4 linked regions of the Lepisosteus oculatus genome follow. The protein of the gene in region 3 interacts with the protein of the main gene of each other region in a pairwise test. Links are inferred from orthologs where the notes say so. Each region holds a gene or a part of one and is shown on either strand. Other genes may lie near its edges. The genes, in order: immunoglobulin-like and fibronectin type III domain-containing protein 1, shfl, meox2a and emerin-like.

What was found.
Region 1: the proteins of meox2a (region 3) and immunoglobulin-like and fibronectin type III domain-containing protein 1 interact in binary tests that used the Homo sapiens proteins (3 or more experiments, as listed by UniProt). The two-hybrid records come from large-scale screens. The link is inferred for Lepisosteus oculatus from reciprocal best matches to the Homo sapiens genes MEOX2 and IGFN1.
Region 2: the proteins of meox2a (region 3) and shfl interact in binary tests that used the Homo sapiens proteins (3 or more experiments, as listed by UniProt). The two-hybrid records come from large-scale screens. The link is inferred for Lepisosteus oculatus from reciprocal best matches to the Homo sapiens genes MEOX2 and SHFL.
Region 4: the proteins of meox2a (region 3) and emerin-like interact in binary tests that used the Homo sapiens proteins (3 or more experiments, as listed by UniProt). The two-hybrid records come from large-scale screens. The link is inferred for Lepisosteus oculatus from reciprocal best matches to the Homo sapiens genes MEOX2 and EMD.

Annotation. Positions count from the first base shown.
Region 1 is NC_090700.1:28,478,468-28,485,689, forward strand, and holds the start of immunoglobulin-like and fibronectin type III domain-containing protein 1, read right to left. Parts: upstream 3,282-7,222; 5' UTR 3,125-3,281; intron 1-3,124.
Region 2 is NC_090706.1:14,469,673-14,477,791, reverse strand, and holds the start of shfl (shiftless antiviral inhibitor of ribosomal frameshifting protein homolog), read left to right. Parts: upstream 1-5,074; 5' UTR 5,075-5,275; coding exon 5,276-5,308; intron 5,309-5,695; exon of another isoform or gene 5,696-5,800; intron 5,801-5,843; exon of another isoform or gene 5,844-6,843; intron 6,844-6,922; coding exon 6,923-7,058; intron 7,059-7,835; coding exon 7,836-7,885; intron 7,886-8,119. Other genes in the region: retinol dehydrogenase 8, read right to left, coding at 1-87, 713-892, 1,332-1,493, 1,646-1,742.
Region 3 is NC_090705.1:2,550,531-2,557,792, reverse strand, and holds the start of meox2a (homeobox protein MOX-2), read right to left. Parts: upstream 3,347-7,262; 5' UTR 3,032-3,346; coding exon 2,515-3,031; intron 1-2,514. UniProt on the Homo sapiens protein: Mesodermal transcription factor that plays a key role in somitogenesis and somitogenesis and limb muscle differentiation. Required during limb development for normal appendicular muscle formation and for the normal regulation of myogenic genes.
Region 4 is NC_090697.1:66,887,089-66,894,261, forward strand, and holds the start of emerin-like, read right to left. Parts: upstream 3,333-7,173; 5' UTR 3,177-3,332; intron 76-3,176; 5' UTR 47-75; coding exon 1-46. UniProt on the Homo sapiens protein: Stabilizes and promotes the formation of a nuclear actin cortical network. Stimulates actin polymerization in vitro by binding and stabilizing the pointed end of growing filaments. Inhibits beta-catenin activity by preventing its accumulation in the nucleus.

The sequences.
Region 1 (7,222 bases), on a different chromosome or scaffold from region 3:
AGTATGTGGTTGCAAAGATACCTTAATGATTCTGAGGTCTACTTAGGAACACTATAAAATGCATTTCTATAGGTAGATGCATGTACAGTAGTGTTTGCTTGCACAACAACAAAGATTAATTCTGAGATGGTACAAAATACCATAGGATGTCTTTATTAATAAGGACGTTTTAGGAAAGGCATCTGCTATACCCTACTCGTAGGTAAACTAGGCAACTGCCTAGGACCCCAGGCCTGTCAGGGGGCTCCCTTAATGGGAAATACATCATTAATCTGTACCTTCATACTGTATATGAGCAAAAAATTCCCTCCAGTGGTTCTTTGCTGTTACTGCTGTTCTAATCTAGGCTGTTAAATACTGTTAGTTGTATAATGTATAATCATTAGTTGTGAATATAAGTGTAGTAGTTTATGTTGTAGTAGTTGATGGTGGGTAGCTGCATCAGCATACGTAGGCTGCAAAGGAACAAGTAATAGGTTTATTCCATGCTGAAAAGAGAAGAAAACACAAGATTTGGCCGTGGAGCCTTCTTCAGGTGTTTATGTTACTGTCAATGTAGCAAATGAGTCTCATCTTAACTGTAAGGTGACAATATGGTTTCAGCTGCTAATACACTTAATGCTGCTACATCGAATGTTATAATGCTGAACATTTAATTTAGGAAAGTAGTAAATGTTGTGACGATCAATTTTATTAATCGTCATTATATCTAACAAGTAATGAAACATTACAAGTGACTTTTTACTTGCATTGCAAATTATGTACAGTACATGTTGTTTAAAGATTTAAAATTGAAATCTTGTACAGTAGTTGCAACTGGTAATTGACATTGTCCTCCTAAAGGATAATATACAATTTCTATATCTTGTTTGTTAGTTATTTATCATGTGTTCTTCAAAGCTAGTTAATTAATACAAGTTTTCTTGTATTAAAGTAAAATAAGGTTGTGTCAGGAGCTAATAATAGTAGTGTACTGTATGTGCAAATCGTGTTCTGGAGTGGCCCCTTTCCAAGATCTTGTCTAGGGCCCCCAAAAGACTAGGGCTTGCCTTCGCTATATCAAAGATTTAAACACCATAATTTTGTTAAGCAAAATCTTCTTAACTTGTTTGACAGTGCATACCAGTAATTACATTGTGTTTTATAAGCTGCATGTAAAACAACTCACAGACATTGAGCACTTTAATAGGGTGATTCGTTCTGATGAAAGGAATGCAGTTTGATTGGGTGGAAATCTGAAATTGCTATCGTTTTATTTATCCCCTTGCATTTCATAAACTTGCTTACCTGCAACTCCCTCTTAATCCAGTTAAGTGAAGCAATTTCTCACTTTTCTACTTGATCTGCTGAGTAGTGGGGCACAGAAGCTGATGTATTGTACAGTACAGTATGTTATCTAAATGGGTACTACACTTCAGTGGTGAATAAAGAGAGTACCCTCTTTTATGTAAAACATTTTTCCTAAATGACCATTCATGGTCCACAATACCAATGTTTCTTCAGGTACTGAGTTCCAGCTTTTACAGGTTTCGGTGTCAAGAGTTCAAGTGACAAAGAAACCAGAGGACTGCAGCTTTCAAAGACTTAGCAAAACCTTAGCCTTGGTCTCAAGATTTGAGTGGAAAGCAACAATTCAAATGCATTTTGTGGTCTTGGGGTGAATACTGTATGGTGTGTTGTTATTCTTGCAACTAAAATGTTAATGTGATAAATTTCTAGAGCTTTTTACATAGGCTTTTTATCAACAATTAAATCTATGTGACACAAGCTACAAAACATTATGTCTTTGTAAAAACTGGTAAACTGGTAAAACTGGTAAAAACTAAAATAATTATATATTATCAGCCTGGAAAAAATAACACATTCCTTATTTTTAGAAAAATCTGAGTGAATTTTACCAAAGCCCCTTCCCCATATGATAGATTTTAAAATATTTTGTGTATAACGATTCCAAAAGCAGAAAAATTAATTCTAATATATTGTGCATCACTAAAATAAACATTTGAAAGTACCCATGAGATTAGCTTAATATGAACATTTTACTTGTTTCACAAAATGAAGATTGCTCTGATCTGTGCTTTCTAATTTTGTCTGTCTTCTCCAAGGAATCTTCTCACTCTCGTGACACTCAGGCTGTACTCAGCAGGCTCTTCCTTCTATAGTTAGCAGTCGTTTTACAACTCAATAGCAATGACATCATGCCACCTCACTAAAGTCACCATCCAGCTCTGGAGGACCACAGCTCTGACATTAAAACTGAGAAACACATCTCCTCAAAATGATACTGTGTGATGTTTCCAGTCACCTCATCAGCTGTGTACATCAATGGGTGTAATACTATTCAGGCATACAAGCATGCTCTATGATAATTTCTATGATAGAATTGTCTGTTTCAGTATACAGTAATCATTTAAATGATTTCCTGAAATCGGTAAAGAGATATAAGAGATATAACACTGTATGCCAGGTCACTTTGCATTTTACACTTTGCTGGTCCAGTGATGTTGCACTTTCACAAACCTAGAAGCATTTTTTTTAAATGTGCTGTAGTATGTTGTTAACATAGTAGTTAACAGTTTACAGCTGAATTTGTCATTTAGTTGTCTTTGATATGAAGTCAAAATTAACATTCAAAGCTTAAAAGGATTTTGTTTTTAATTTAATGATGGCACTAACAAAAAAAAACATCCAGCCAATAATATAGGCAGTAATAGTGCATTATGATAACATTTATAGTGTTTTATATGCTTAGGTTCTGTATACTTACTGTATATAAAAATTGGACAAAACAATTCTTTCATGAATACTTGAAGCACTAGTGAAAAAACTATTAGACTAGCAGTTTTTGCAAACAAACTGAAATAAAAAGACTAGAAATTCACACACAAACATACTGTTCCTTGAAAACTAGTAAGCAAGAAACAAGTACAATAACGTACTTACTGTATATGCATTATAAACAATGTAATAACATATATTGATATGTTGTATGTCAGATAAATATTTATATATTAAATTTGCTATGTATATTGTATATTGCATTGTATATTGCATTACGTATACAGTATGTTACAGACATATACAGTACACTATATGGGAGCAGATAATATGTATATAGCCTTACCTGCCCCCTGTCTTCAGTGCTGTCAGCTCACTTCAGCTCAGCTCCACTACGACCTAGACTTCTGACAGTGTCTGATATTGGTGTGCTGCCTCACTGTTCTACTAGTTAATAAATCCAGTAAGAATATGTGTGGTTCTCCAGCAAACTCCCTCGTGCTTTGACCCAATGAGTGGCGAAGAGAGGTCTGTCTGTTCGTATTTAGGAGAGGTGAGGGGGCTGAGGGGGGTGAGGGGAGGGAGGGTAATTACAAGAGAATGATTCCTGGGTTTTTTAACTTCCAAGAACTCAGAGTGCCCTTTGATGGTCTATCACACTCATGGCTGTTTTTAAAGGTGAACCCCAGGGTTACATTTTTCTTAACCTCAAATACTTTTTTTCTATTGATTAACTGTCTGATGAGCTGGTTTAGCACCAGCTAAATGAATGGTCAATGGCGATTCAAAACCAATTAAAAGTATTAAATTTCGGCAGGTTCTTGTAAATGCCAGCAGCAGGCAGGTTTCTGTCTAGGGTTCTGTTTTATCAGCTGTTTGGAGTGGCAGAGTTGAGTCAGAGATCCAAATATTGTACATATGGGAGTAGTGCAGTCTGAGACGAGCTAGAAGATGAACATACTGTAGCAAGGGGAACACATTCTGTCTTTGAAATGGAATGACATGTAACAAAATGAAAATAGAAATTAATACTAAAATATATACAGTACTTTCCTTTGTGACTGCAAAATCTCCAATGTACTTTTCTTTAAAAAAAAAAAGCAGTTCCAGTCTCCAGGACAAAAAAGCATTTAAAATGTATTAAGTTATTCAAGTGAACAGTAGAGGACAGAGTGGAGGACAGAGATCAAAGTACATTACTTTTACCTGGATTTATCCTCTCTTCCTGCTCAGCAGAAGATGTTTAGGCGCAGCAGAATAACCGTAATCAATTCACTTCTCAAACTACAGACAGTAACCGTAGAAACTGCTGTGTTCTGCAAGACCCTTTTTCAACTTGCAGTTAAACACACCTATCCAAGCTATCAAAAATTAATTTTAAGGTCTTTGTTGCAGTCAGAAATGAAAATAATAATAATAATAATAATAATAATAATAATAATAATAATAATAATAATAATAATAATAATAATAATAATACCTTATATAGTGATTTTCTAGACACTCCACTTAAAGCAAATAACATGTAATGGGGATTCCCCTCCACCACCAATGTGGAGCCCCACCTGAATGATGCAACTGCAGCCATAGTGCGCCAGTTCACTCACTGCACATCATCTATCGATGGGGAGGAGAATGGAGTGATGAAGCCAGTTCATAGATGGGGATTTTTAGAAGGCCATAATTGGTAAAAGCTAATGGGAAATTTGGCCAGGGCACCTGGGTAACACCCCTAGTTTTTTCGAGAAACTCCCTGAGATTTGACCACAGAGAGTCGTGACCTTGATTTTATGTCTCATGTGAAGCACAGCTCCTATTTACAGTATAGTGTCCCCGTTACTATACTGGGGCATTAGGACCCACACAGGCTGCGGGGTGCACGCTCCCTACTGGTCCCACCAACATCTTCCAGCATCAAACTTTTCCCAGGAAAACCTTTTCCCACTTTTTTTCACAGGAGGTCTCTCATTCAGGTTCTGAAGAGGCTCACACCTGCTTCGCTTCGGTGGGTTATCAGTTGTTAGTTGCAGGGTGATAAGGCTGCTGGCCCACTTATACAGTGACCTTCGTATTATTCAGGAGTGACATGATTCCAGAATTAATACGCAGTGAATTTCAAACAAAGATTAAACCATGACAAACAAGGAGTTTTCAAAACAGCACAGGGATAAAGTTGGTCAGGGGATAGAAAGATCCTTAATATTTTGTTGAGCATGGTTCAATGATCAGGCTGTCCCATCAAACTGAGCAGCCAGGCAAGGAGGAAACTGATTAAGGATGCCACAACGACACCAATGGTGACTTTGACAGAGAGTTCAGTCACTAAGATGGTATATCAATATCCAAGTCATTCTACAAAAGGGGGTTGCATGGAAATTTCACATAAACCCAAAATTCCACATGGGTTTTGCAACAAAACTCCAAAGCATGCCATGCAAACATTGCAAAGGGTTTTGTGGTTAAACAATACAAAAAATACTTTATATATATAATTTTGGTCACAATGTAAAGAATTACAAAATCTAACACAGAGCATCACTCAGTCAACACCACTCCTATGGTCAAGTGTTGTGATGGCAGAATTAGAATAATGTTGTAATTTTGCTTCTCATCAGCTGAGACTAGGATGTTTGTCAAGACTGATGGGAACATAGAGTAAAGCACTATTAAATTTACTTCTAACCTAAAACTGAGAAAAAATGCACCTTTCAGCAACAGAATGGCCTAAAGCACATGGCAAACGTTACACTACTGGCTAGTGTAGTGGCTTATGCATGAGAAAGTAAATGTCCTAGAAAGGCTCAGTCCAGGTACTGACCTGAATTCTATTGAGAATTTGAGGAATGAAAAGAATTACTGTCCCTAAGTGATCCCCAAGCAACCCAGCTTGAGCACATCTGAACAGAAAATTGGGCAAACATTGCATCGGTTCTATGTGAAGAGTTGGTAGAGACTTAACCAAAAAGACTAATGGCAGTAATTGAGCCAAAGGTGCTTCCAGCAAATACTGAGTTCAAGGGTTTGAATACTCATGTAAAAAGCATATTTATTTCTTTATCTTTAATTTCTGCTGACATTTTTTGTAACCTACTGTATCGTATCCTTAGAAGTTTTCGGATTGAGCATTTGGAATTTGAATAAAATATTAAAATAAAAAACATGTGATACATCAGTTTGTGTTTTCACAAAATAGTACACCATAGGAAGAATTTGAATGCTTTTGTAAGGAAAAGGAGTTGACATTCACTGACTACTCAAAATTGGAAAACACAAACTTATTAATAGAGATACTAGAACTACAGATAATATTGCACTTTTTTTTCTTTCAGACCCCCACTTTGATAAATCATAAATCATTTTTTTAAATAATATATTTATTCATTTCTTCTACAGGCATATACTGTACTGTTGATTTTATAGGTTTTATGTGTCACAGCACCAGCTAGCAAATTAGCATTTAAAGGAGGAAGGTTGTGGCCCTCACTGACAAGACTAATATTGTGTATATCCCTAGATATAATCTATGCAGAGATAACAGAAAAAAGGAGAGTCTCAGTTTTCACTTTTACTTTAAATATTATATATTTTGTGGATGACTTAGAGATGGTGGCATATCAAAATCTTTGAACAGAAAGGTCTTAGGGAAAGTATACAAAAAACACAGTTGAAGAAAAAAAAACAATGCTCTTTTGTTCTGGAGTGTGAGGAAATAACAAAATAACACAGAAAATGTATTATTAGGAGTCTAACTGCACTTGAGATACATTAATAGATTCTATAAGAATCTAGGCAGATGATTACCTACATATATACATAAGACTCTCTTCAAAACTCTTCCATAAAAAATAAACTATAATATCCTTCTTATAATGATATATAATAAAATATTCCTAAAACACCTCACATCCACTGGCTTATTAGTTGTTTCTCAATTATTTCTCCCTTAAGTGCGGCTGATAACAGAAGCTACTCTAACTTCCCAGCTAACAAAGGAAGTGTCACCTGAAAGGAAGCCCCTTGGAAGTCTGCCTCCTGGTTTTAAGTATCACCTAACCAATTTACTTCCTCCAATTGGTTAGGTGATTGACAGTGACAGGTACTTCCTCATTGCTCCGAAAATTTATACTGTAAAAATCCCTGCAATTTTACAGTGGAAAATTTAAGACCCTTTTAACAGGGCCTGTTTGGTCAATCCAGCACTAAATCAGTTAAAACAACACAAATAGGGTCCATTAAAGACTTTGATAATCCATGAAAGTCCAGTACAGAATTTCCTTAAAAGAAACCATGTTGATGTTTCTTACCAGATTGATAAAACACATTAAGGGTGTATGTTGGCCTTAAGGAAATCCCCAGCAAAGTTCTTGGATTTGCCTTGGATTGTCCCTTTTACCTCACAAAAATATCTGAAACAATAATCCTAAAATATTTATTAGAAAATTCT
Region 2 (8,119 bases), on a different chromosome or scaffold from region 3:
TGAATTTGAGGGCCTGCACCGCCAGGCTCTCGCAGAAACCCTCCACCGCGAACTTGGAGGCGGAGTAAACGTCGTTGAAGAGAAGACCTGGGGCCCCCGGGGGAAGATGGGTTCGGATGAGAGGATAAGAAAGAGAGACGAGGAGAGAAAATTAGCTGTGCCCCTGGAGGGCTGCAGGAAGTCACAGGGCAGTTCCCAGACAGCTGATGTTGAATCTTCCGAAAAGGCCTCTTCTGAAGGAATACCAGTCACATGAAAATGGATCTTCCCCTTTTGTGCTCTGAATACTCTCATTCTCAAAGGCCTTTTATCGTCTGTGTATGGCCCTAGTGTTTCCCCAGGTTTCAAGGCAAGCACATCCATTTCATCACAGTATGCAAATGGGCCCACATGCCAGTCATACAATGCATAGCCTGGTGGGAAAAGCACCAAGGCAGCAGACCGGCTACACTGGTTACAGCCATAGTCAAGCTACAGGTCATGCCTGCCTGGGTTCTCCAGCATCAAGCTCTACAAGCTCATCAAGGTTAGCCCGAGGACCAACTTCCCTGTTGTGGAAATAATGGGCGCAGGCCACTGAGTGTTTCCCCACGAGTCCACTAGGGGGCGAATTCCTAATATTTTCACCCATGAGAAGGTAAATGTCAATTTCCTACCAATTATATGAAAGAAGCATGGACCCGCCCCCCCCTTTCCACCCCCAGCTGCCCACCCTGGATGCCCATGACGCTGCTCATCACCACGATGTGCCCGTCCTGACGCCTCTTCATGTCCGGCAGCACCTCCCTCACCAGGCGCGCCAGCCCGAAGAAGTTGGTGTCGAACAGCCGCTGCATGGCGCCGATGCTCTGGCACTCCAGCGGGCCGATCATGCCCACGCCCGCGTTGTTCACTGAGGAGAGACGCCAAGATGCCAGGGCGGCACGCACACGCACAGTAGGAGGAAATGATCGTATATCCTGTTTCAACACCACTCTGCAGGCCCGCGGGGCAAGAAGTGGTTCTACAAACTCATCACAGTGTGCCAGTCACTTCTGACTTTTTTCTCGGCTTTTTTATGTGAGAGACGCACCTCTGTGCTTCTGGAATGAAACGTACTGTAGGAAAACCGTCATTCCTGACAAGAGTTTAAACCAGTTAGGGGCTAGCGTTTACAGCTGCAGGGGACGGGGTTCCCAGAGCCCTGCTCCAGGCCAGCACACTGCTGCAGCTGTGGATCCTGAAGAATTACATTAAGACAAAGCAGATGGCATATTTCTTGCTTTTGAGCTCAACAACTTCTGCCTGGCACAAGGCCCACGTAAGGCTGTGCGCCTGTAAGTCTGTCTCACCCAGGATGTCCACCTGGCGGGAGGGGATGCTGTCCACACAGCTCCTGATGGAGTCCTCGCTGCAGGCGTCCAGCTCCTTGATCTCCAGGGTCCGGTTCAGGGCGCTCCCTGCCGCCTGCTCCAGCGGGCCTCTGCGGTCCAGATCCCTCATGGTGGCCACCACTGCCAGACGGGGGACTATGCATCAGCAAAGGCCTCCCTTACACAACTTTTACCCCCATAGCTTTTTTTTTACTGTGTGTTATTCCATGTGTAGGAATACAGCTTCTATACCGTCAGACAATAATGATCATGATACTTGAGGTGCCTCTGACCTTTGAACCTCTTCAGCTCATCCTTGGCCAGACGTACGGCCACAGCTAGCCCAATCCCCGAGGAGCAGCCTGTTACCAGCACGGTCTTGCATGCCATGGCGCCGCCCTGCTGGATGCCTATGCTACAACAGGTAAAAACACATGCCCTTTTTTTTTGTCATGATATAAATGGAAACCACGTGCTTATCAATGTTAAGTAGGCCAGGCCCCGTAAGAAAGGTATGACTTTTTTAGCACAGCACACATGATCTCGGTACAGTTCTTACTTCTAGACTCACTTGATCACTGCACATTTATCTCCAGCAACTCAACAACAATAGCTAATAAATACTGCCTATGCAGGAGTACTGTACCTCCAGCTGTAGGGAGACATTTATAATGCAATCAAGGATAATGCTAAAAATAAAGGCTGGTACAAAAAACCTTTGGTATGCAGATCACACTGATGAAAACTAACAAGCTAAAGTCCAAAACGCGTGCAGTGTGTGCAGTGCCTGTCACCGTCACATACTCACTGGGACTGCAACCCCTGTTCCTGCTTCCTCTGCAGGGTCTGGTCCGGGAAAGGAAGCTACCGGCTATCAGCGCCCCTCCTCATCCTCCAGAAAAGCAGGAGTCTCTTCCTGGAGAGCCCGGGACGGACAGCGTGCCCCCTGTGACCGGGTCACGGGGAATCGAACTGTCCAGGGAAACACAGGGCTCTATTGAGTTTCCTCCCTGTCACATGCGCACACACACACACGGACCAGTGGAGCAGCCTGATCTGGCACTAAGCCTTTAATCCTCTTTGTCCCGTCGCAGCATGGCGCGACGGAGATCCCTATGGTTACCCAGAAGGTCTTTAACCCTTTCAGGGAAGGCTGGCCTTACCGGCTCGTCTCCCGCCCTGAGGCCCGGCAACACAACTCTTAATTCCTTCCGTGAAAAGGAAGCGCTTTGTCTGCAGTGGCCTCACATTCATTAGTCACCCCCCCTTCTCCCCTTCCTGGAGGTGCCCATCGGCCCCATGAATTCTCAGCCTCCTACCAGTGGCAGCTCAGGGGAGCTGTGTGCAGGAGCTGCTGCAGTAAGAAGATGCAGAAATGGCTTTGCACACGCAGCACGCGTGTCAGGAATTCACTGTCATGGGTTTCTGTAGAGTCGCTATTGCAGAACTACCCAAGACCTGCGTTTCAGCTTCATAACACGGTTTCACCGACGTGTGTGCAGTACAGGTACCCTCTGCGAAGCAGTGTCTGTGCTCTCGTGTTGCTGCAGAGGCACACACAGAGTGGGGAGGGACACTGTGCAGCCCCAGCCCAGTGACTTAATGCCCAATCAGTCAATCAGTCCTGGAGCGACATCTTGTCACAGAGCACTGATTCCGATTTCTATCGCATTTGAAAATATACAGGTTGGCCCCCCCCTCCTCCAGGCTGCCGGCTTGTGGCACCTTGAGCCATCGGAAAGCAGGGGCAATCCCTGGATGTCAGGGGCTGGGATCCTGCTTCTCGGCCGACCTGGAGACCTCTGGCCCAGTGACGTGAGTCAGGGGGTCAGCTGCGTCAGCAGGGCACCCAGGAGAGTGTGAGGGAGCAGGGAAGGCCGAGCTGGCGCCCCCCGCGCTTCAGAGGGATCGCTGCCGCTCCGGGGAGGAGGCACGCTTGGCGCGGCGGGGGAAACGAAATTACCTGAAATCGCTCACCACCCGGAGCGCCGATCTCCTCAGCCGGGGTTCGACTGCCCCTACCTGGAAGACACCCGCAAAGTCGTCACTTAACAGTTCAGCTGCAGGGAACTGCAGACGCTGCTTGGTCAGGTGTGTGTGTGTGTCTGTGTGTGGCTTAAGGTACAGTTTGGGTGGGAAAGAGGGCAAAATACAATGAGCATCTTCTTTTCACCAACTTGCACACGACTCAGGCACACCAGCGTGTCTTTATCTGCGATTGGGAAAACACTGAAGACATTCTGGACTTGTTGCAGCATAATCACAAAGTATTCGATATTATTGAGTTTCCTCCTTGACGCAGGATCGTGAAACGCGTTATTAAATCTTTATTTCAACATCGTATTTCAAAAACTCTCACATCCCTCTGGAAGCAGTCCTTTTTCCCTCATCCCAATAAAGACGTTAAGTAGCAGTAAAGCTGGCGTCCATATTGATTGCTGAAGCAAATTAGAAGCCGCTAATAGGCGTCAACGAAAATAACAGTGAATAACAGTACTGCCCTTACAGCGTCTATCACACTGGCAGATCATTTAAAATACAGATCATTCTGTTAGCTGTACAAGATGCCTCGTTACAACCTGGAGTCCTGGCGTAAAATAACAAGAGTTAATCTAGGTAACGCTGTATTTTTGTATTGCGGTATTACAGATTGTTTCAACAGGGAATAAACTCTGGGACTGCTAAACTAAACGGTGGTACGCATTTACTGTAATACACACGCACAGTACCCATAATTCAGGTAAATTACCTAGGTTTTAACAAATTACACCTCCGTTTACAGAGATCTAAAACTGCAGGGGCTTAAACACAATTTCACCCACCCCCACTCAAAAAAGAGAGATGCTGCTGCACTGTAAGCGCCGTTGTAACTGAGCTCGCCACAGCCAGTTCGCGTAAAAGAAGAATTTTGCCAGAACAGCAAAGTCTTTACTTCCAACCTGCGTTCTGCAAGCTCACCAGAAACCGTCCATCGCTGATCGTTTATGCAAAAACTTTCCCCGTTTTGCGCTACAGAAGTTTACACGTCTGTACCCACATCGACAGCGCATCACCAGACTGGTCCTGGCTACTGTATGAACACATCAAGGCTGGCCGGAGGGTGGAGGGTGGAGAGGGGGGCTCCGAGCGAGGGCGGAGGAAACGCCGTGGGTCGCTCGGCGCGGTGCTTTCTGGGGATTGTAGTTTAATCGGTTGCGACTTCTCTCTTTTTTTACGGCTTTGTGCAGGTTTGCTTTCATTATTTCATTAATCGGGAGCTCGTTTTGTTAAAATAAAAATTCTGCGGTCCATAGTTTAGAATGACTACAAGTAAAAGTTCAAATATTGAACGTACTTTTGTAATTAAATTAGAACTCAGGGATCCGATATTTTATAAAAAAATCAGTTATAAATAAATGTCACAGTACAAATGCCAGGGTCAAGACATGAACCTGAGATGTTTACGTAGGATACAACTCCACGTTTTACCTACAGCCACGACTGGGCTTTTAAAAACTTTCTTTAAACAGAAAGACGGCGGTGTGCAGAGTCAGCATTGCGCTGTTTGCTGAGATGAAAGCACCAGAGTCGCATGGCCTCTGTAAACAGAAGAAAAAAAAAGTTAGACCCGAGCAGTCTTTGCTTTAGTCTTTACTTCGCTCGTACGAGGGAGGTATGTGGTTCGAGCTGACAGTTCATGCACGGTCCTGGCGAAATGGCGCCGCCTAGTGGCGGTAGCCGCGCTTGCGCCAGCGAGCAGTGTGAAACCGAAAGTAGGTGTGAAGGAGACGCTCGGGGCTGCAGGGCAGCGGCCGCTTCTGCAGGAGCAGGAACGCGAGCGAGTGCAAACGCAGGCCCAGCTGTTAATCGTAGCAACACCAGTCCGCAGCTGCTGCAGTGCGGCCGTGCGCGTCCGCCACACACAGTCGGCTTCAACCCGAGCCATGGCTCGCAGGCTTCAGGATGAGGTGGTGGAGGTAGGGCAGTTGGAACAATTATTTTTCCGCTTTGCTGTTCATGATTTCTTCTGCTGCATTGTGGTTTTTTTATTATTATTTCGTGGTTTGCGGACCAGTGCTTCTCGACGGCGCTTCCCGCGGTTACTTAAACCCACAGCGCAGTTCAACGGCTTATTCTGCGACTAAACTTCGGGTTTTGCCACAGCGCCACCCCTCCTGCTTGCTCGGGGGGAATCGGCGCCTGGCTGACTCCGGCAGCGTCGGCTTTCTAACCGGATACGATTGGTGTCTGTTAGGCACGTTTTTACGGAAAAAGGCTGGGAGGCCACGGTGTAACTTCACTTTGAACTCGTATAGTTCCCGTCCCCCGTTTTTTATTAAACGTAAAAAAAAACTTCTCCCCACCTGTCTCTATCTGGTGTAAGACCGTCAGTCTACCGATCTGTGCGACTGTCTGTTATTTCCAAACCTGTCTCTCGGTCCGTCTAGGTTTTAGAGGAGGCTGAAAAGCGGTGACACGCAAAGAAAAAAAACACTTGTCCGAACTTCATACCGAAGTGTCACATCGTTAAACCGCCCCTCTCAGTCCATCTCCAGAGGCGCACACGCACTGACCCCAGTTCGGGTCACCGCGCTTGTGGGCGCACGTCAGATACCCCGGGCGCCTGTCTGTTACGAGGACTGTATCCCTCGGGCTGAGCTGCACAGGGAATAGGCAGGCCGGACACCCCGGCAGGGCCCGGGTCTGTCGCCTGGCAACACCGGCACCCCTGGACGGCTGTAGTGTAGTCATGGCTACTGTAGGTCTCCCTGGGGGGTGGGGGTAAGGAAATGACCCTCCACCTTTTATTTTTTGCTTTTTTTTCTTTTGCTGTTGCAAGCGGTGTGGAGTGCACTGGGGGAGAGAGGCGAGAGGTGGCCGGTAGCTGAGACACGGTTGTCCGGGTTTTTCCTTTGCGTTTGCGTTTTCAAAGTGTGCTGGCAAAGGTGTCCTTATGAAGCCCTGCCCTGCCAAAATGGGAGGTGTTAGCCTGGGGGTCAGTGTCCCGGACGTCTGAGAAACAGGCACCGTCCCTGTGTGGTGTCCGCGCGGACACAGACTCCTGGCGCACAGCAGTTTGACCCATTTCAGGATTCACCAGCTCTGAGGGTATGATTGGATGTGGGGATGTTGATATTGGTAACTCCTCGTCTTTGTGCGCCGTTCCCCTCCAAGTAAGGCAGCTGTGGACATCCAGCAGGCAGGAGCTGGTAAAACCTGGACTGGACCAGGGCTGCCGTGACTCGGGTCCCCACAGGCTGAGCACCGCCTCCGTTAGGTACTTGTTAAGCTTGTCAGTGTGTGGATGGAAGGAGCGGAGTCTGTCTCTGCAGGAGTCACAGTCGGGTCCCGGGACAGAGCGCCACCGCCGCAGTGTCTGTAGAGCGAGCGACTCCACTGCAGGAAGAGGAGAGTTCATGAAGTAACAGTCCCAGCTTCCTCCTCTCTTTCCCTCGCTCCTCACTTATCTCACTCTGCCTCTCTCTCCTGCCTCCTCGCTCCTCCTCTCACCTCTCTCCTGTCTCCTCCTGTCTGCTCCTCTCTCTGACTCCCCGGAGTGACTCTGTGTGTTCCTCCTTGTCCACCTCAAGCTGGAGAAGAGTGTCCGGCGCCTGCGAGAGCAGTTCTACGGCAAGGTCTCTATCGAGGTTGCCACGGTGCTGATGCGTCGCTATGGTAACAACCACCAGCTGGTCGCCATGGATATCATCCTGATGAAGGACAGAGGTTAGGTGACAGTGTGGCTGAAGGAGGTGGCGGGGGGGGGGGGGGGGTTTACCTGTGACACATTGGGTTTTTCAACACAAGCAGCTCGCATTCCCTACACCAGGGGGCGCACAGCTCTGGTCTTGGAGGGTCACCGGTCCTTCTTGGCTTAGCTGGATGAGGTGAACGTCTCCCCCCAAGTGACCAGCAAGACCTCCAGGACCAGAATCCCACTCCACCTGCCCTACACGGTCGCCCCCAATCGTGACCCGCTGTAGCGAAGCTTGGTGACTCCGGCCCCTGCAGTGGTGCACATGATGAGTCCGCCCTGGGAGAGGCCCACATGCAGCAAAAAGATCTGAGACGCACAGGAAGACGGCGTGAAAATCCGAGAATGTGCCGTGCTGGTGACCTGTCGCCAGCAAGGGTGGTTGAGAAAGCCAGCGAATCGCCCGCCCTGAGACGGAAGGCACAGGGATTTGGTTTTGCAGTGGAATTGCACACTGTAAAGTCAGGCTTTTTAGTTCCTGGCCTTCCTTTCCCTCAAAACAAGAGTACTGGTCCCCCCTGGTGGCAGACAGGAGAGATGAGGTCACAGGGATTGTGGCGGGTCCGCACAGGCAGTCGCTGGAGCCGCTGGCGGTGCAGCTGGATCCAGGGGGCTGTGGCCTGGGAGCTGGCGTGGGCGTGGTGCTCCCGGCCCGCCGGGTCTGCTGGCCCCCTAGGTCTGGCCAGGGCCTCTGTGTGCGGTCAGCCGGGTGGACGGGCAGCTCATCATGGTCTCTCCCTTCTGCGCAGGGCTGGACGAAGAGGACATGATGTGCTTGAAGAGAGACGCGGTGGTCAGGGTAAAGCTCCTTCCCAGAGTGCACTGGGGCTGCCTGGAGGAAGGGAGGGGGGAGAGTAGAAGCATGGAGGGGCAGGACAGGGGTAGAGAGAGGGAGGAAAGGGGCAAGAGAGGACACGGAAAAAATAGAGAAGGAAGAAGGGGAATGCTGGTGTTCAGCAGAGCTGAAACGTGTGTGTGTGTGTGTGTGTGGGGGGGGTTACTGTTTCACTGTAGACGACCTCCTGCTCTGTGG
Region 3 (7,262 bases):
GCAGTCCACTTTCTTTTTATTATTTTCAAGCCTTGAAATGCACCTCTTTTGTGGCCACACTTGTGCATGTAATAAGAAAGTCATAGTTGTTACAAATGCTTTCATGAAACAAAAACATTCAGTGCATCAATTAAGAGTCTGCAATAAAATGACATTCAGTAAAAAGTAATTTGTCCAAAATGAAATCCTAGTTTAAACCAAGAGTTATTACAGTATGTCGTGACTCTATTATGGCTAGAGGGTTGCAATAGCATTGATTAAAGTTTGATCTTCCATTTAAATGTATACATTTATTTTCATAGAAGTATGAAATATTTGAGATAAGCTCTTCCGTGTTTGAAAATTTCACAATTACAGTCCTATGTACAGGTATTAATCTTTTGTTTCCTATTTTACACCTAGTAAAGTTCATTATCAGATGCTAATGCCGGAGATGACAAATTTGAACAGTTTTCCTACATTTTAACTATCACTAAGTGACATTATTTATAACATTGAAAGGAAGTGCTGACTTTGAAGTCAGACTATCTTGTCACTGTAGCGGACATGGAACGTGCTGAATTTGATGCCTGGGGTTTTTACAAAGATTTTTTTTTTAATCCCAACTGTTTTCTTAATCTATTGAGACAAAAATGAGCAGTACAATTCAGAATATAATTTGTGATTCTTTCATTAAATGCGCTATGTTAAAATATTTAGGACAACATTGCTTTAAAATGTTTGTGTATTATACAGTTCACAATAAATCCTATTTAACAAGGTAACACTATTTGTTATTCTGCTCTAGTAGTAAAACTGGAGAGTGTAAAAATCTCCTCTTTATTTCAGTATCCCAGACAAGTTAAATGTACATAACTGAATAATTGTAAGTTTACAATTTTACAATTTTTCTTCAGTAGAGAAGTACATACTGTATGGAATGGATGCTTTTGGGGGGCATTTTGTTCAGGTTAACTAATGACAGACAAAAGTGTAAATTTTACAGGTCTGATGGAAATAGTAAACATTATTGGAGCTTCTGTTTCTGTTAAAATAGTTTTCCGAGATGCACTGAAAACTTTTATAACCCTTATGTTTGGGCTGCAGTGCCATAGATTTTTTCCAATTCAATCCAGGAATATTTCTATGATATAAAGCATATAATTGAGTACATATTATCCTTTCTATCAGTGAGATTTTATCAGCCTTTTTTTATTATGTGTATCAGATTTTAATCTATTTGATTTAAATTAAACGTTCAACTGCAAAATGCAAGGAAAACATGTATCAAGCACTTTGCCCATCATTTCATGATCGTATTTCAAATTAAAAATAATTGAATTACCTGTAAAAACTTGGGAACACACCCTTGCGTAGTTAACCTGATTAGAAATCTACAGTATTTATAAAATATAACTGTGGACTTTAATAATCAGCATTATCATGTGAAAAATCCTAAATGTTTTGGTAATGTGAATTTTATCTTATTTAAAATACTAAATACCAAAATTCTTTCGAATATTTGTGAATAATTCTATAGTTATCTCTGTAAACATAAATAATTATCCGATTGCCTCAGATGCTTAGTCTCTTTCAAGTTTCAGTCTTTTCAGCCTGACGCGGTATGAGCCATTACACACAGATGTCGGAAAAAAATTTAAAGGAGGCCCAAGATGTTCAGGTGTTAAATTTTACATTTTCGGAGAAGGTTTTACAACTCCTCATCATTTTCCGTGTTAACGTGCCTCAAAATGAATCTGAAATCAAATATTTTACGTGAAAGTGTCAACAAAGTGGTTCACTTGCAAACTAACTAAATGCTGAAAAAAAGTACAGTACCTGCTCCTTGAAACAAGCCAATGAAAGGATCTTTTACGTACTCTTACCAACAGCTAAAAGTTCAGTTCAAAAGAACAGAATCAAGGTGCCTGCCAACATTTCTAAGACATGCAGGCATGATAGTATTCCAAATCTTGTATCATACCTGCCTGCTGAAATCTATTCTTTAAATTAAACTAACATATTACAAACTGTACATATTTTATACTACTCCTTACAGATCTTCTTAGGACAGTGTGTGAGCAGCCATTACAGGTCCTTACACCTCTCACTACACTACACTTTTTATTCTTTCAAATTGAGCCCCGCAAGGCTCCATGTTCTGTCAAAACTCAGTTAACAATCTCGTCATTGAGAGATGGACATATTGTATTATTCCCCCACAGGGAAACAACATTTTTGTATAATGTTTTCAATAGCCCTGGGAATCCATAAATGAGAATATTTTCCACAAAACGACTGCGCATTTGCAATACGAGTGGCGGAGCTCAGCCTTCAGTATGCAGCTGAAATAGACAGGCTCGAAACTTTGCCTGAGATTCTGAATGCCAGCAGTGAGCTTTCCCCGCAGCAGATACTCTTTAACTCTCTGGCTCCCGCAGGGCGAGCCCCGAAGCGCGCGCGTGCGTTCCCACATAGGGAACGAGCAGGTCGGGGGGTGAGGAGAGGCGAGGACGGCGGCCCCCCCAGTCTTACCTGAGCCATGGCTTTTCCTTTTACTGCTCCTTTTCTCTGCCTCTGCGGGAGACAGCGCCTGCCTGCCGAAGTCCCCAGGTGCGCAGGATGCCCCCGTGGGGGTGGTGCTGCCCAGGCTGGGTGTGCTCGCGCACAGGTTCGGGGGGCTGGGCCCCAGATCTGTGGCGGCGGAGTCCGGGGGCTGCAGGCAGAGGCTGTGCCGGGTGGCAGCGGGAGGAGAGGGCATCTGTGGAATGTGCCAGCTGGAGGGGTGATGATGCTGCTGCTGCTGCTGCTGGTGGTGGTGGTGGTGGTGCTGCTGGTGGTGGTGGTGCCCTCTGTGATGCTGGCTGGCGAACAGGCCCTCATCGTTGGAATATCCAGCTATGATGCAGGAGGGCGAGGAGGTGGACAGGTCAGGGTAAGAAACGTGGTCCGTTCTTCCGTGGAGGGCCAGGGAGGACTGCGAGAAGGCAGGGTGCAAGCCCTGCGCGGGGGCATGAGGGCTGCGCAGGCAGCCGAACAGCGTGTGATCCATGTCATGCAAACGTGAGGTTCCAGAGAGGAAAAGAACGAGAAACCGGGAAAAAAAAGCAACACAAAGATCCCAATAACGCCACCCCTTTTTAGTTTTCACCTCATATACTCAACTAACTTTTTTTTCTCCCCCTGAAAAAGACAGAGGCAAACTTTTTTTTCTGCAAAAAAGGGAGCTCCTCAGATAATCCAGATCATTCACGACAGTTGCCAGGCTGCTTTGGATAAACACAGAGCCCAAGATAAGCCGCTGAAGAGATTCTCAGATGACAGAAAGGGAGGCTGAAGCCAGTGGAAGGTGGTTCCAAGGAAGGGCTTTAAGGGGGGAGAAAGTGGAGGGGATGTTATAAATAGTGTGTAATGTGAGCTGGAGGCTGGGTCAGAGACTCAGTACTGACCACATGCATATGATCTGCCTCCAAAAAGCAACTTACAATAAATCTGCAATATTAAAATGGTTATGCCTTAGAAAAGCATGCAATTTATTTTGGACACAGGCTACTTGACCCCGGTAGCACTTTTTTTTTCTTTTAACCATTGCGTCAGAGTGTGAGATGAAAATGCAGCGCAAGAGTTCATTAATGTGCTAATACTTTTGTGGTTTTAAGTAAAAAGTGTTTTTTTTTACAACAACTGCTATTAGACTTTTGCAGTGTTCTAAGTATTTCCAATGCAGTTTGTGACATCTTTCCTACTGCACTTAAACCTGTTATTACAGGCATTAGATCTGATTCTTACTCGTTAGTATAGTGTGTTAATTTTGTTATTATTCAGTGTGATGATGATGTGAGTTAGTATTTCTTCTTCTCGCATCTTTTTTAAAACATTATTATAAATTCTAAATGAAATACAACACAAATTGGATTTTCTACATGAAAAATGAATATTATAAAGTGAATATATTTAGAACACATTACAACATCTTACAGTATATTGAATTGTTTATTCAGTTTACAGAGTAGATTACTGTCTTAATATGAAAGTAGTGACATTTCAATCTGCATTTGAGAGAAAATAATGGACATTTATGATACAGTACCTGCACCAGTTCAAGAAGATTGGGGTTATTCCCCCAAAAGCACCCTACAGTAGTTATTTAGTTTGCTTGATGCTTTTTTTTTTTCTTATGGCTATTTGCACCCACTGGATACAGCTGGTTATTTTACAGAAACAGTTCCCGTGAAGTACCTTGCTCACAGTTACAAGAGCTCTGTGACGTGAATCCAGATGTGAATCCCGACTGCTTCTCGGGTCAAGCTGTCAACGAGTCAGGGAGATTACATCCTCCAAAGATGTGTGCAGTGATAATTTAACATGTCTTAAAAAGTGACAAAAGTTAAGTTGCTGTTAAGAGATATGTGTACCATATCTTGAAATCAAGTTAAATAGATATATATATATTTTTTTAATTACGTTGTTATCATCTATTGAAAGGTTATCTGTATTTTTAAATTAAAATTTTAAATTTAAAGCTGTAAAACACTGGCTATTTCCTTTACAATAAATTTAAAATTGGACACCACACAAGCTACTGTTAAAATGGTTGATATTCATTTTAAAAAGTCTTTTAGAAAATGGGGTGGTGGTGTAATACATTATGTTAAATTGGGCTTCTTTCTTCTCCTACACATCTGCATATGTTCCTCAAATGGATGAGTACTGTATATACAGTACGTGGCCACTGCACTCCCATTAAAGTTCTATAGGCAAATCGTTTGGTTGTACCACATTTATGAAGCTTCCTTGAGAAAGGAAATTAAATACTTTTGGGGGGGAAATTACTTTTGCAGACCTTGAAGAATTGACTTTCTCATTATTGCTCCACCAGTTGTCTGAAACTGTGCAGAAACACCACATTCAAGACACGCTGGTGAGTTAAAAACTGTGTGTTTACGTTACAAATTAGGGCAATTAGTCCCGACGTAAAGTTATATGTTTATTTAGTCATTCGTCCCATATTAATGCACATGTGGTTTTATTCTTTCAGCATCCAGCTCACCAGGGTTCTTTGGCATATCAGAAATGTTCTTGCATTAAACTTTCTCTTGCTGGCTCGTGGTTACCCCTGAAGCTTTAGTGATTTCTCTTGTAAGTGTTATATGTGAAGAAGAAAGCACTGGTTATGGGTTTGTGAGTATTAACATTTTTTTAGCAACCCGTTCTTGCAGGATTTTCATTGTGATGTTTTTGAGTATGTTTCTTCAGTTACAGTATAGTAGGTTAGATAACTCCCGCATCACACACTGACAGGCTCCGAGTGTTAGAGGTTGTTCAGATTGCACCATCCCTGAAAACCTGCTTCTGTCCGTCAGCTGTGCCTGCTGGGTGTGCAGTTTGATAAGGGAGGATGTGGCGAGAGTGATAACAATTTGAAGAACATGAGTTACAGTCTGTATGATACGTTCTTTGTAAACAAAACATCCTGTATTTAAAGCTGATCGTTTTAATTGCATTAGCTGATGCACCAGCTGTGCATTTCATTTTTTAAAAGCTCAACTGCCCCCCAAAAAAGCCCATCTTATATAAAGGTACTGTTTGCTCAATTGTAACTAAGTGTATTTTTTATTTACTGTAAATTTTCTTCTACAAATTTCAGATTGTCAATGAATGCCAATCCAGCATATTTGGACTACTGTATATTCAGCAGGCGTTTAAATTCAAGCAGAAAATAATAAGTATTAAGAACCAGTTCACACTTCAAACTTTACTTTTAAACTTGTAAAAGTATAAGACATTTTATGCATAATTATAGTTTATACATTTTATGAATGATTATATTACTGTGTAGAACACAATACAAATAGGCAGTTCAAAAACACTTTCTGTTGAACATTTCTATTGCAAAAAAACAAGAACCGAAATAAACCACACCAATTCCAAATGTATTTTTGTGCTTCCTCTTGAAGTGGTGCTATTTCAATTCATTTGAAGTGCTGCTTTACAGAGACACTTCTGAGATTCAAGCAGAAAGGGCTCTATGCGGCTTTCTGTATATAACATAATGGGTGGCTTTTTTAACAATTCAGTTATACGAGTTCATGAAAAGCTTCCGTCTCCTATAAAATACACTTTGAAATGAAATTGTTTTCTGAAATAACTTGTGACTTGATGGGTGAGAAAGCTTTAATGAGTTATGTGCATTTCTGATGTACGACAGGAGTCAGCAACAGCACAATGACAAATGAAGGAATACAACTGGCTTTATATATTTTATGATTCAGATAATTCAGCAAACAATTTTAACCTTTTTACCTAGGATACATATTAATTCCTAGCACAATGATACTGTAGGTACATGACAGGTATTGTTTTCTTATTTGTTTTCATGGTCCCAGATTATGTGCATAGGTAAAAGAGGACAGTTTTTTACAAAGGACTTCCACAGAAAATATCTTGTTTTTTTTTAAATAATACCTATTTGAGATTTGTGACTGCATACTTGCATAATTGAATGAGGAAATACAGTGGTTACTCTTATTTTAATAGCTTAGAACTATCTTATTTTTCTTTAATGACAAAATGAGCCCTATTGTAGATGGGCTTTTACAGTTGTTTCTGTTTGCCCTTCTTTTAGTGTCTAATGTGCTTTTAATACTTGCTTGTGAAGTTCTCAGGGCATTTTAATTACCATTTGTAAACATTAGATGAAAAGCAGTGTAAAATAAACTAAATTCAGAAAGTTTCCATTCTCCTTATGCCATCAAAGCACCGGTCTCTTTTAAGTATTTTTTCAGGATATCACTCTGAGGAGACAGATAAAATAAGTCCTTTGGCAAAAATAAATTATTTAAATACTTCACTAGTGATTCAAATAAAAATCACAATTCTAAAGTAAACGTCCTTTAAAAAAGGTACGCACATACTGAAAGCAATAATAAAATTACCAAACAAAAGAGGAGGAATCTCTTATATGCTATTAATAATATTAATATTAATAATGCTATTAATAATATCTCTTTATATGCTATTACCTTTTTAAATATTATATTACTTATTTTTATTAACGATCAAAAAACGGCAATAAAAAAATCAGAAAATAACAAATGTCTTATCCCCCATTCCTAAATGTCATTATAATATACAGTACAGTATGTTATATAGACAATATGGTATTCTTTTCTAATATATGTAAGGGTTTAAAATTGTTGCTGTTTTAACATTGAATGGACTCTTAAGAATGAGACTCTTTTTAAAGCAAATACAATATTCTTTCACGAGTTTATATCCCAAAT
Region 4 (7,173 bases), on a different chromosome or scaffold from region 3:
GAAGATCAATGATTTCTTGATCGGACTTGCTGCTGAGTTTGGTCATGTCTGTCAGGAAGCAATGCTCTCAGATGCCTGGAAAAAAGAAAAAAGAGATATTATACACTGAAGGGGTAGGTGACCAGATTTGTGTTTCTAGGACACTGGGACGCTAGTCACCATTTTGCAACACTGACAACAGCAGAATATGCAGATGCTGAGATGTTTAAAACTTGGACAGTCATATTTTAAGCTCTGATTTTCTTTAGCTGGGTTTTTACCCATTGCTTACTTTGAAAAAGCCACGTATCAAAATCATACCCCAGACATCTTTGTGTAGCATTTATGGGCACACCCAGTAACAGCTGCTGTTCCTCCAAGTGTATGAGCTGAATGTCAGTCACACTGGGGTCTCCTGTATGGCAGAGCACAGTGGGCACACAAGACTGCCCAGGGATCAGATGCTCTTTACTCCCGCCCAACTCTGTTGCTTTTTATTTCCAAGTCTGTTCTCCTCATGCTTCCCTCTCTTGCCTTCAAATTTTCAGTCTGCTCCACTTGTGCTCTCCTCCAACACAAATATAGCATATAATCTGGCTGGCCTTCTTTAAATTTACATGACTTTAGGCCAGAACTCTAGAGCCCTAGTCTTGGAGAGCCTCACACCAGCTCCTGTAGTCTTATAGGTCATCTGTTTTTAAAGGAGAACTGCAGTCCCAATTCCTCATACTGGTTTTAAAATCTCAGTAACATGAACAAATAGAAGGTATTGCAAAATTTTACAAATTCCGAGTTAAGCACAAAATGGTGAACTTTGTGAAAGTACTGTAAAGTCACCATTTCGTAGCAAACTCCTGGTCTTGCCACGGCCAAGAGAGAGAGTTTGTACAAACTGTGACGTGGTGCAGACCTTCATGCTTCCTATATATAATGCAACGTAGGACCAATTAATTACAGGTTGTGCCGCAGTCATTTCAGCGCAGAACTGTTCCAACGTGATCTGCACGCAGTTAACAAGTAGTATTCTTGCGCCAAAATAATCTGGAAATCGAGAGCAATATTTCTATTGGATTAAAAGAGATGCATTCAATAGTCTGCATCTTTACAATGTAATATGGCCACTTCACCTCACCAGAAGTTTTGTTGTCTCTTTCTAAATCGCAGAACTTAGCGCTGCACATACCTGGAAATTTCTATTTTTTTTCAATGTAAATAGGAAGTTTTACACATTGCTGTGTACATTTTACTTTCATCATGGTTTGAAATGCACTCATCAATGCTGAGTCTTTCCTGGAAATATAAAAATAGCATTGCAGTCCTCCAGGGCTGAACACTACATAAAGTCTAGGCATAAATGAACTCTACATAGTTTCACAAATTGACCGTTGAACTGACCACAGTGGAATTGTTTCATATCTTTAGAAATTGCTTTAATAGTAAACTACAGTACAACAATTGCTGGATTGGGGCTCTCAAGGACCTGGTTTGGAGAACCCTGACTTAGGCTATTGTATGGTACTGACAAGGCTCTGGTTAAGATGATTGATGATTTGCTTACAGGATAAACAAAAGAAAGAAAAAAGGAAATAAATTATGACTTGTTTTATGGAGAAAGCAAATGAAAAGATCCATATCTCCGCCTTGTAACCTCACCGTATTTAGCCTGTTAAAATGTATAGGTAACACGGATCAGTGTGGTCATGTTAGAAAATAATCAATAATGACTATTATTCTTGCTTAATGGGCCTTGACATTCAAGCCTCTGGAAAAATAAGATACACACAGATTTAAAGATAACATCACTGCAAAAAAGGATTCAACATCAGTTTTAATGTGTCATGATATACAGGACAAACAATGTCTGAATCAGTCAGTTTAAAATAATACTGCAACTTATCGGTTTAAAACGCATTCACAGTTTAACTAAATATTGTATATCTTATTATTATCTTACTAAGTTCACTCTTAAATAAACCAGGTAAGGCTGTGGTTGTTGCTTGTAATTTGGTACATTCTTCCGAGAGACCAAAGAGTCTGCTTTCAGTGAAAGAGTGTAACCTGCGATTATCCGAAAACGGAGCTTTTACAAATCACGGGTTGTTTCTGGAATGAACTACAATCCCAAAACCGAAGCTTTATAAATTCATGTCCACACGATATCGCCTGCTCTTCTCATAATTTCCATGTAAGGTATATGTGTCGGAAGATTATTTCCACAATCTAATCCCTATAGGCTATATTGTTGAATAATATTTTCATCAACAATCTCTTTCCAGTTTCACTTCAACTAAATGGTTGAGCTATGGTAATGTGAACTTCAGTTTTATCTTTCTCTAAGGTCCGAGGTTTATATAAACAATGTATTGTAACAAACTAAAATTAAACAATGAGCATTCCCCCCGTGAATGGATATATCATCATTACTAGTATATAGTACAATAACTAAAATGAGCCATGTTTGTACGATTTAAGCAGCAGTAGATAATTTCATGTGTTCATGTGATTCAAACAACAGTTCTTTTAGTGTGTTCCAGACGAAAAAGGAGACAAACGAGTTAAATCTTTAACTTTAAAGGTGTCAAAACTAAAAGTTAGTTTTAGGACAAAATGATATACCAACCTTTCGTGGTGATCGTTAAGAAAAAATGAATGGGGATTACAGATTACGAAATAAAACCTATACATATACAGTACAAAACAACACACACTGTATGAATAGTTGTTGAAATGTTGTAAAATAATAACAGAACAAGCAAAACAAAGTGCATTCAATTCACGCATCGTATGCACAAGGACAAAAAACTTTAGAATGAGACCACTTCTTTTACACAAGCGACTGCCCATAAAATCAAAACGACTTCGTTTGAGGACATTCATGGCTAGAATACAGGGCATCACTTCGCAAAGACGCCATGTGCCTCAATAATACGCTAACTCCAAAACTTAACTTGTGATTTACCAAGTAGAAATATATTCAGAAATATACGTCAGCTCATAAGTGTTGCAAATCCAGCTAACTACGTTACAGCGACAGGGCGTTGTTCATATTTAAAAAAATAAAATGGGAGGTCCGCGAAGCAAACGGCAATTGATTTCTATTAAACTAATGCAGGGACACGTTTCTCGCAGCACACACCTCTCTCTGCTCCCCAGAGAAACAAGGCTAAAGGATCTTATTTGAAAAAAAGGCATCTTACCTTCAGGACAAAGAGCAATAAGCAAATAACTACTCTTTCTGTAACAGCGAATTCCCGAGTAATGTCACCTCTCCTTTTTGAAAAACGAAAGCTCTGTATCGGAAGCTGCTCTTTCTCCGTAGCTCCAATGGTGAACGTCTCTCGACTGCATGTGATTGCGGCCCACAGTTTGCTGCGTCAACGAGGAGCGTCTCACTGGCGCCCTCGCCTGTTACAATAGAGTGAAGTGCAATTCGTTGTTACCCTAATAAGGAAAAACGAAAATTTCCAGAGCTTTTTTTTTTCTCCTCCAGCTGTGAATTGGGTGAAGAAACTAGGGCGTTGGTTGTAAAACCGATGTACTGTATTCCCGCTTTTTTTGGTATTTCAAATCTGGTGCAATCCACTGCTGAGCTACTTCAATACGCCCTCTGTCTGGAACTCCAACTCACTGCATAGGTAAGAAAAAAATAATATACCCAGTGTGTTTATCATTAGATTTAGCTTGAACGAAAAAAATACACCTACTGTACGAACACTACCAAGGTATCGGCTTCCGCAACATAGCTGTTCAGCATGTTTCATACGCACACAACCGTTTGGGTAAAAGTGTGACTACTGTTCTTACTTTTAAAAGTACTGTACATCCCCATTGGAGTTTCACCTTGTTTTCTGGTTTGTGGTTTAGTGGCCCTTATGGATGTCAGTGATAAGCTCATAATGATATAAACATTGGTTAATTTACATGACTAAAAGTACAAATTCTGAGGATCCAAGGTGAAGGTCTCACAAAATACCTGAAACCCATTTTACTGTATGCCTTATTTGCTGTTCAAGCAAATAACATGATTGTGAAGTTTTACAACCCATAACACATTACTTGCATAAACTGAATTGTAAGAGCTTAATTCATATGCTTTAACAATTCAGTAGATTGATGGGAGATACTGTACCAAGCACCTATGTACAGGCTCACTACACCCACATAATCAACACTGACAGATCTCCTGAATTATTAGTATTCAAGTTATTTTCATACCCATCGGATTTGTACCAGTTGTGTATTTTTAGTCTTTACCCACATTAGGGTAACAGTAAAAACAGCTAATGCCTACAGACCACTACCAATCTGAGTTCAGTACCTCTGGGTGGTTGAATGTTCCTGTTGGGTGTCCCAAACATTCAGAAATACAACAAATGCAAAGAATGGGATCTCCAATACTTAAAGGGGGGAGTAATTAAAAGGAAAGAGAAATGTTCACACCCAGAGGGAAAAAAAACAGTTTTGGCATTCATTAAATATGGCCTTGTCATACTTCTTTCCATGTGAAGTTTCTGCATGGCTGGTTAAGGTCTCACATTCATTATCTTAACAGGGTGAGTATTGTAGCAGCAGGTAGTCCCAACAGCAAAAGCTGGTGTCAAAAGGAGCAGTCATGCACTGTGCCTCAACTACACTCACATTCCTAAACATATTCCCTAAAGAATTTATAAAATATTCCCAAAGATGTATAGGTAAGCACTGGCTGAGCACATATGTGAAGAAGGTTGAGGGCAATGTTCACCTGGAGATTACAGAACTGTGCTGTGCATATTCTAAGTATTTACATGTGCAAATATGAAGTAGATTAGATTGTGTGCAATTGTCTAAAATTTGGTGTACCATTTACATTAAAGCTACAGCTACCTTCACCTGTGTGTGAGACCAGAAGATGGTAGGTCCTTGAGGAATTGGGTTTGAGACCAGTGTTCAAATTCATATTAAGGTACCCATTATACCTGGTCCTAGAGAGCCCCAATCCATCAGATAGCATAGGTCACCTTTAAAATTTAAATTAGCCATATCTCAAGCTACAGAACAAACTCATTCTGATCAATTAAACAGGTGATTTTTAAAACTTCCAATTCCTTAATTAATATCCAAGTACTTTACACCACTCAAGCACCCAAGTTCACTTAATAGTACAGATTACTTGCAAGATTCATCCATAGCTCTCAAATGTCAAATTTATAAAAACTGGTGGCCTAGTAAACAACTTGGATTGGTTCTCCAGTACCAAGGTTGAAGACCTTATGCAGTGATTAAGACTTGGCATTATCAAATCCACAGCAGTGAAGGCACAACGTTTAGAAGAAAGATCCAGACTTCAAAGATCCTTTAATTAACACCGATTAAGGATGCATGAAGAGGAAAATTTAACCCTTTTTTTAATTAAAAATGAGTACATGTGCATGTGAAGACTAAGCTAATGTAACCGACTTACTGCTAGTTACAATACCTGCCCCTCTTTGAGCAATACATTATACAATCCTATGATGTGTAAGCTACAACCTGCAAATAAAGTAGAAAGCCTGTTTATGTAACCCATATTTAAAGCTTTAAATGGCAAACCGATTCCCAGGGAAAATAAGTGTTTAAGGTATTAACAAAAATTCCAGGATCATCTTTATCCCTGTGTGCAGAATAACTAAATGGTGTCATATTAGCAATCTGAACATAGAACCATCTACATTAAGGATCTACAGTATATTGCAATAGAGGGCAGCACTGAATTCATACCACCCCCATAAGTATCCATCAGAACTCTACAAACCAAAATTTGAAATGCAGCCAAAACTGGGCTCTTATAGCCCTAATTAAAAAAAACAGACTTGGACACAAGCTTGTATTAAAGCATAATTTTATTAAAGAACAACTGATCATTTGGAAGGCTAAAAACGGCTGATGTGCAAGTTAAGAAATGAGAAAGATAATCAGGATAACTCGAAAGCAAAAGCTTTGTCCCCCCTTTTGCACAGTTAAGACCATCATAGAAGCCGACAGACACTCAAGTGTATAAATAACCTTAAATCTGAAGTTTTCAATGGAAGAAATTGAAGATCATTCCTTGTAGGCAGTGGTAACTGTTGGTACACCATTGTCGCAACATTCTGAAAATTAGCTTCTGTGCTTTTTAAAGTTTGACATGGGTTTTAAAATGTAGAACATTAGAGCACTGTTAAAATTGAGATCCTTTGCAGGAGCTCAGAACTGTGGATGGAAGCAACCATGGAAAACAGTAAAGGAATTTGGGAAAGACTTTTCAGCTGGGCTTATTTCTCAAATACCAAAGTTACAGAATGACAAATCAATTTTGAATAAAAAAAATCTGATTGAACTGGCATTATAAACAAGATTCAATCTGAAAAGGCAGAGTATATTAAAATCCAGCTTCCTCATTGGATAGCCAGAAAAATCTGCACATTCAAATCTTTCAGAATACCATCTTGTTTAAGCTCCGCCACAAAATAAAAGAAACGAAAACCAATAAGCCATTTTCAAGTTTAATGGTAAACAGTAAAAATTTAAGACAACTTTGTGTATCAAAATACTGTAACAGTCTAACATTCTTAAAGGCTTATTTCCTCAAAAGTACATTTTCTTTCAAAAGACATTGAATATTCTGGACAAAAAGTACAAAAAGTGTAAGGGGAAAGTGACAGTGACCTTTTGTTGCATATCACAACCATGTTTGTTCACAAAAAGCATCAAACTGGAAAAGTGTCAAGTCTTCAACCACCATATAACCACCTAACTCCTAACATACTACTGTACATTACTCTCATTGACATCTTCTATTCTCTCAATTTTAATTTAGCAATATCTTTAAGAATTTAGACTATTCCCTTTAACATCTGCAGACGGTCTCTAAGGTAAAGAGTACTTTGACGACGATTCTGTTAACAGTTGTAATATTAGTTAAGTGTCCTAGAGGTTCAAAATCTGACTTGCCTTTTCCTCCAGTGGGAATCCAGTTCGATTCTGAACACTCAGGAAAAGGTCTATAAATGTAGGATGGACAGTCACTTCAGAACTAGAATAGTGCCTACAACAGGGTTAGCTATTCTATTAAGACAAATTAGCAGCTATACTACCATCCTGGGCATAAATCCAAAAACAGGTAACCATCAAAAAAAAAAATCCATAGCACTAAGCATAAAGAACAAACTTCTGGTTTTGTTTAGGCTTTGCTGCAAC